Linked DNA regions of Mus musculus. The protein of the gene in region 1 purifies or fractionates together with the protein of each later gene. This does not show direct contact. Links are inferred from orthologs where the notes say so. Each region holds a gene or a part of one and is shown on either strand. Other genes may lie near its edges.

Region 1 (3,546 bases):
AATTCCTCCCTGGCTATCCTATGGCAGGTTCTCGTTAGAAATGAAATCTAAGGTCCCTGATGTGCTCAAAACCTTTGCCAGCTGGCCCAGCATCCCTCTTCCCTACGGCCACTCAGCTTCATCTCTCATTAACTCCCCTGCTTTGACCTAGGTTGAGCCTCCTGCCTGGAATGACCCCAAACATCTGCACTGTCAGCAACTCTCCAGACCCTTCTCCTACTGTGGATGGGGGTGGGATGGGGGTGGGGATGGGCAGACTGCCTTCTGCACCATGTACCTGATTTGCCTCTCCTGGTATTAACAGGACTGGGAGCTGGGTGGGTGTAGGGAGAGGTGTGTAAGGCTGAGTCTTTTAAGTTACTTTGGGTTTTGAGACGCGTTCTTCACTGGCCAGGCCATGAGGCTCCTGCCAAGCCACCTGCTTTTTCCATGTCTGAAGTTAACCAGAGTCCGGGCTTCCTGAGCGTCCAGAGGCTAATCTTTGCTCTTCTCCTGTCCACAGTGCCCGGCCCACAGACTTTGATTTCCTCAAAGTCATTGGCAAAGGGAACTACGGGAAGGTAAGTAAGGACCTCGGGAGCCTGAGATCTCTCCCTCTGCAGCCTTCCACCTGCTGTCAGTGAAGGCTCACACACCTGCAGAATGGGTGTGGGGGCTGCCAGGGGAATGCCATCATCCCTGAAGTCTTGTGCCTTTACTTTTTGCAGGTCCTACTGGCCAAGCGCAAGTCGGACGGAGCCTTCTACGCCGTGAAGGTGCTGCAGAAGAAATCCATTTTAAAGAACAAAGAGGTACCAGAGCTCAGGAAAGCTCACTTCCCTTCCTGCTTCTAGGAGGCTTCCCAAGACGGTCCCAGCTCCCAGAGGTCTATAGGGAGCAGCTCAGAAAGTCCAGGGGCACACCAGACCCTAACCTTCCTAGAGGAAGGCAAGCTAAGCCATCTCCCTAGGAACCCATGGAGGATGCAGAACCCTCTGAGCTCTCTGCCCTCTCCAGGTAGCAGGCTCCCAAGTGCGCACTGTGGGCTCACACCACGCCCTTTTCAAAGGCCCCTTCGGCCTGGCCAGCTTGGAAGGGAGGTCTTCCTGCATGAATGGTCTTGAATGGATCCTGACAGTAAATAGCACTCTGTTAGTTTGAGAAATAAAGGTGGCATAACCAGGGGCTAGGGAGATGGCTGAGGCAATAAAGTGCTCTCTGAACAAGCAGGAGGACCTGAGTTTGATCCCCCAGAACCCACATAAAATAGGCTAAGCATGGTAGCATGTCTCTCTAATCCTAGTACTGCAGAGATAGGTCCAGTGATACCCTGTCTCAAAGAATATAGAGGAGAGGGGCTAAGAGAGGCATCTGTCATCCACTTATTACACATGACACAAACACACACAAACACAGAGGAGGGAGGAGGGAGGGAGGGAGGCGGGGCTTTTCAGATGGGTAAAATGGCAGGATCAAAGTCATGAGTCTCGAGTCTCGCAGTAGTATATGCTTTGCTTGTCACCCCAGGTTAGGGGATTCTGGATTTACACTAGTCTGAAAGTGGCTGGGGCTGAGGCTCAAGACACTGACTTCTAAGTACGAGACAAGGAGGCTGGGGACAATCGAGAGCCCACGTGGGCATCTGAACCAAGGCAAGGAGAAAGTGGTAGGCAGGACACCTCCAGAAGCAAGGTCACCTGGAATGTCCCGAACTGTGACATGGACCCTGGTCTGTGATTCCACAGCAGAACCACATCATGGCAGAGCGCAACGTGCTGTTGAAGAACGTGCGGCATCCTTTCCTCGTGGGCCTGCGCTACTCCTTCCAGACCCCAGAGAAACTCTACTTTGTGCTTGACTATGTCAACGGGGGAGAGGTGAGTGGACCATGGGAGGGGAGCTGGCCTTGTGCATACTCGCTGTGTACCCCTGCCGCATCCCTATCGCAGACCCACTTGGTATCCCAAGTACAGAGGCTCAGCCGAGTAAGTCGCTTCCCAAGATAACCCAGTCTATAGCAAGTGGGTCCTCTTCTCCCCCCCCCGCTATACTTTCCTGCCTTTCCCACGAAAGGTGGCCCAGCTTCACTCTCATAGACTCCAGGAAAGGTCACTGCCAGAGAGAAATGTGTGGTCATTATTTCCAATACTGCTATTTCCCACACCCAGGCCACAGGGTAAGAGATAACCCATCACTATCATTTTTTTAAAAAAATCTTACCTGGGCAGTAGTGGTGCATGCTTTTAATCCTAGCACTTGGGAGGCAGGCAGAGGCAGGTGGATTTCTGTGAGTTTGGGGCCAGTCTGGCCTACAGAGTGAGTTCCAGGATAGCCAAGGCTACACAGAGAGAGCCTGTCTTGAAAATCCAACGGGGGAAAAAAAAGAAAAAGTAAAAAGAAAAAATCTTTTTTTCATGTATGTGTATTGCACGCACACATTTTTATGTGTGGGGCAAACATGCGAGTGTGTGTGCACTTGTTAATGGAGGCCAGAGATTGATGTTAAAAGTCACCCCCAGGTTCTCTTTCACCTTTTTCATTAAGTCAGGGTCTATCCCTTAAGCAAACCCAGAGCTTGACATTGTAGCTAGTCTTGCTAGCCAGCTTGCTCTGATGTTCCTCGGTCTCCATCTTATTGAGGATGGAATTACAAATGGGCAGCCGTGGCCACAAGGCATTTAAATTGGTCTCTGGGGATCTGGACTTGGGTCCTGTCTTAGTTAGCATTTTACTGCTGTGAACAGACACCATGACTAACGCAACTCTTATAAGAACAACATTTAATTGGGGCTGGCTTAGGTGGGAGCATGGCAGCATCCAGGCAGGCATGGTGCAGGAGGAGCTGAGAGCTCTGCATCTTCATCTGAAGGCTGCTAGCAGAATACTGGCTTCCAGGCAGCTAGGATGAAGATCTTAAAGCCCACACCCACAGTGACACACCTACTCCAATAGGGCCACACCTACTCCAACAGGGCCACACCTATTCCAACAGAGCCACACCTTCTAATTGTGCCACTCCCTGGGCCGAGCACATACACACCATCACAGGTCCTCATACTTGCATGGCAAGCACGTTAACCACCGAGCCATCTCTCTATCCTGATGTCACTGCCTAAGTAGAGACCTGAGCCACCTGCTAACCCCAAGACAGGGCAGGGCAAGCTGGACACAGACTTGGGCTTTGCTTTGTCTCCCTCCTCCGCTGCACCAGATTTCACCTGTAACCAAGTGTTTTTCAGCCTGAGTCCAGCAGGCGAGGCTTTATTCTGCACATCCCTAAATGATGGCTTTGCAACTCACAAAGCAGACCAAACAGGGAGATCCAAGCTGGGCTGTGTGACGTCCTAACGTTTGGGTGGGAGGAAAACCACAATGTTGCTGGGCATGGCGCCTCACACCTGTAATCCCAACACGTGGGATACAGAGGTAGAAGGACCGTGAGTTCAAGGCCAGTCTGGGTTATATAAAGTCTACCCCCTGCCCTACCACCACCACCAAAGTATGTCTTGAACGACCTGGTTTCAAGTTCCAGCTCTGCCAACTCTGAACTGTGGGACCTTAGACAAA
Region 2 (4,228 bases), on another chromosome or scaffold:
CAGTTTTATCTTTTCTGTAGAGGTCTTTGAGGATAGGGAAGGAATGACCATACCACCATGTGGGTGATAGACATTGATATATATCATATGTGTTATATGGACATTGATATATATCACCATACAAGGTGACATGTATCTTCATAAGTTCTAAAGTGAGACAAGACAAAAGAAACCAAAACTAGGGGCTGGAGAGAAGGCTCAGCGGGTAAGAGCACTGACTGCTTTTCCAGAGGTCCTGAGTTCAAATCCCAGCAAACACATGGTGGCTCACAACCATCTGTAATGAGATCTGATGCCCTCTTCTGGTGTGTCTGAAGATAGCTACAGTGTACTTAGATATAATAATAAATAAATAAATCTTAAAAAACAAAACAAAAAACCAAAACTAAAATAAAAGCAGACATGGAACCAGGAAACATGGAATTTTCCTGTGGCTACAAAATATTCCATAGGTAATTGGGACTTTTATAGTTTCTCCTCCCCTCAAAAAACAAACAAACAAACAAACAAACCAACCAACCAACCGGGGGTCTGGAGAGATTCCCTAGCTGTTATGAGCAGTTGCTCTCACTGGTTGTTCTCCCAGAGGCTGGGAGAGCACAGGATGCTTCCAACTCCAGTGACAGGGGATTCGATGCCCTCTTCTGACCTCTGTTGGGTACTGCACTCACATAGTAAACACACACACACACACACACACACACACACACACACACACACACACACCCAGCAGGCGAAACACTCATCATAAACGTTCTTCTAAGAATCTTCTTAAAAACCGAACAGTTAGAGTTCAAGTCCCCAGGTGCAGCTCCTGAGCGTCTATAGGAGTCACCCAGACGTGGCGAGGGGGTGCCATCTCGAAGCTGACCTAGCTCAACAGCCATCCTTTGGGTTCCTTTTTGACCTCATCACCTGGGCTGCTTGCTGTGTTGGAGAGGCAGAAACCTCAAGGGAAAGCGACATCTTCACGCCCACTGGGTGTCCAGAGAGAGAGGTGCTAGGTGCTACATCGCATTTTCCCAGTCTCTAAGGAGCATCTTCAAGTTCAGGAGGTTATTTTCCGGGGTCAGCATGGCCCGACCTCTGCAGCTCGTGAAGGGCAGGCTGGGTGGACAGACAGGCAAGGCAGACGCTTGTCTGGTCAGTATTTAGTCTGGAGGCAGTGGACGACGAGGCGAGGTGTCAGTCAGCTTCCTCCATCCCTCTTCTCCGGCCCCCACAAAGGGCAAGGGCCAGACACGTGGGCAGCGGTGAAGAGGCGGAGATGCAAACGAACGGGGCGGAGCCTCATTTGCATAGGCAGTGCACGGCCACCAATCGGGACGGGCGGAGCGACAGCCCGCGCGCCTTTTGGGGGCGGATTGGCAGCCCCGTGGCCCTATGGGAGGTGGGTCCTGCGGCCGGCGGGGGCGGGACGACGGCGGGCGCTGCCCGGCGCACTAGCCGGCTTGCGGGCGCTGCCAGTCTCCGGCGGCGGTGTCCGGCGCGCGGCTGAGCGACCGAGCGTGCGGACGGAGCGGCGGCCTGCTGGGCGGGCTGAGCGGCGCGCGCGGCGGCGGAGAGACGCGGAGCGAGGGACGCGGCGGCGGCGGACGCGGCGACAGGTACGGGCGCCATGGCCGCGGGAATGGGGCGCGCGCACGCGGCGGACCCCGGAGCCAGCCCCGTGCTCGCGGTCCCGCTTCTGCCGCCCCTCGCGCGGCTTCCCCGGGATGGCGTGGACGGGACGCGCGGGAGGCCTGGGCCCCGCGTGGGAGGTGGAGCGGCCGGCGCTCTTCTCCAGCGTCTCCCTCAGCGCGGCGGCGGCGGCTCGCTCGCCCGCGCGCGGCTTTTGTTTCCCGCGCAGCCCACAGGTCCGGGGAGCCCCGTGTCGCTCCGCCACGCCGCCCTCCGGACGCGGAGGAAACTTGGCCTTCCGGAGCCCTGCAAGCCCCGCGGATAACGGAGTGCTCCGCCGCGTCCGCGGGGCCGCGCGATGGGCGTGCCGGCCGGGCACCGCCCTCACCTGCCGCTCCCGAGCCGGCTCGCACCGGGCAGGCAGGTGACCGGAGGGTCTCGGAGGTACTGAGGAGGAAGGGCTAATTAAAAGTTGTCTCGGAGGTGGCTGAGCGGGTACAGCCGCTTGCAGCCAAGCGTGACGACCTGGGTTCGATCCCGGGAACCGACATGGTAGTAGGGGAACCGACTCCAACCGCGAGTTGTCCTCTGACCTCCCTGTGTACACAGCACAAACACCACTGGCTCCGATACACATTCTCATCTCTCACCCCCGCTCTCAATAATACTAAGGAAATAAAAGTTATTTTAGGAATCTTCATTCCCTTCGCCCCAGCGGCATCACCACTCCTGTTCCGGCCATAGTCCTTGACTCCAAACCCAGCATTTTGTGTGTGTGTGTGGGATGAATCTAAGGGAGCACGTTGCATTATGACCATCTTCCTCCTCCTCATCTTCGTCTGTGGATGAGCCAGGTGGAGCGCTTGCGCCTCATTTTTTAAATAATTGGTGTCTGCAGCCATGGCGAAAGCGTTGGAAGGTACAGATCGTAAGCAGAGCGTGCAGAACTTGGGACAGCCCTCGGCGGGGCTCGGGACAGGGTGTACAGCGCTTGGCCGCCATTCAGTAAATTCTGCATGCGGCAGTTGGGAGCTGGTGGTTTGGGGATTTTTTTTTTTTTTTTTTTCCCTTCTTCTTCTTTCAGGAGTGTGTTTTCCAGCGGACCAGGGCGTTGAATAGGCACTTTCTTTGCTTCCTTTAGGGGAAGGAGAGAGTGTTTATTTCTATTGTCATCCCATTTTCTTAGGGCTGTGGACAAGGGAAAAGTTAAGGTGTGTTTGGGTTAAGCATTTTGTCTTTTCCTCCCCACTTCTTGCTGTTAGCTTTATATGTTGTTAAAAATTATAGCTTTTCCTCTTGGTGTCTGAATCAATTCAAGAAATGACTTGGAAAAAAATCTTACTTAACCGTTTTCTGTTACTCTCCCAGCTGATCCTCATTTGCCTGACTTTTTGGGGGGGGTATTTTTTTTTTGTTTGATAGTTGAAACATCAAAGTTTTATTCCTTTGTTATTGGGAGTTTACTATTCAATTAAAGCACGTATAAATTTCTGTAACCTAATACTCTCCACACAGCTTTCGCTTTGGAGTGCTACAGAAATGGTGTATTTTAACTATATTTATTTATTTATTTATTTATTTATTTATTTTTCGAGACAGGGTTTTTCTGTGTAGCCCTGGCTGTTCTGGAACTAGACCAGGCTGGCCTCGAACTCAGAAATCCGCCTGCCTCTGCCTCCCAAGTGCTGGGATTAAAGGCGGGCCCCACCACGCCCGGTTTACCTATTTTTAAATGCAAAGGTTAATAATGACACTGGTTTGTTAGCAGCACTGAGTGTTTTTAGCTTTCTTCCCCTTTGTCTTCTGATATGTCTTGTGTGGTAACTGCCTTGGGTGTAATCTATACTTCAGAAATGTTGAACTTCAGAGCACAGTTCGTTTTTATTTAATTACACTAATTGATTGAACAATCATTTTATTCATCTAGCTAGTTTGAGCTAGCTATGAGTTGGGACCACTTGAGATTGATTGATTGATTGATTGATTTTGAGACAGGGTTTCTCTGTGTAGCTCTGGCTGTCATGGAACTCTGTAGACCAGGCTGGCCTCCGAACTCAGAGATCCAACTGCCTCTGCCTCCCGGTGCTTGGGATTAAAAGCACGCGCCACCACTGTCCAGCCACTTGAGATCATTTAAAATTAATTTAGGAATATTTTCTGCAAGTTGTTTTAAAACAAAAGTTCATCAGTGGGGGCTTTTGTCATTCCAACATTTCACAAAAGGATGTTTCTCTATTTACTTTTTAGTTTTTATATCCATCTATCTATCGTCTGTGATAGATCGATCTGTCATTTGTGAGAGTACTTGGCACTGGTGTGGTTGTCAGAGGACAACTTTGGAGTTTTGTTTTCTTCTTGCCCTGTGTAAGTCCTGGACTTGAAATTCAGGTGGCTTAGTTTATTGGCAGGTTCTTTTATCTGCTGAGCAATATCACCAGCCAGCATTTCTTTTTAAAGACAGTTTAAATCACTTAAACATGAAAAGCCTAGAATTTGGGATGAGTTGTTAGTTAATTTTGAGAATTTTCTTTACTTTTGGATTGGAAAAGAATGTGTATTGTGTTGTTAGTTCCTACAGGGGATTCAGTTTAGGAATACACAGTAGGAA

Evidence for each region. The genes of interacting proteins can lie anywhere in the genome.
Region 2: the proteins of Sgk2 (region 1) and Fkbp5 purify together in Homo sapiens (affinity purification with mass spectrometry; 3 studies listed by BioGRID and IntAct, with this or other methods). This does not show direct contact. The link is inferred for Mus musculus from reciprocal best matches to the Homo sapiens genes SGK2 and FKBP5.

The regions. Positions count from the first base shown.
Region 1 is NC_000068.7:162,993,963-162,997,508, forward strand, and holds part of Sgk2 (serine/threonine-protein kinase Sgk2), read left to right. Parts: intron 1-502; coding exon 503-560; intron 561-707; coding exon 708-791; intron 792-1,724; coding exon 1,725-1,856; intron 1,857-3,546. UniProt on the Homo sapiens protein: Serine/threonine-protein kinase which is involved in the regulation of a wide variety of ion channels, membrane transporters, cell growth, survival and proliferation.
Region 2 is NC_000083.6:28,483,331-28,487,558, reverse strand, and holds the start of Fkbp5 (peptidyl-prolyl cis-trans isomerase FKBP5), read left to right. Parts: upstream 1-1,409; 5' UTR 1,410-1,607; intron 1,608-4,228. UniProt on the Homo sapiens protein: Immunophilin protein with PPIase and co-chaperone activities. Component of unligated steroid receptors heterocomplexes through interaction with heat-shock protein 90 (HSP90).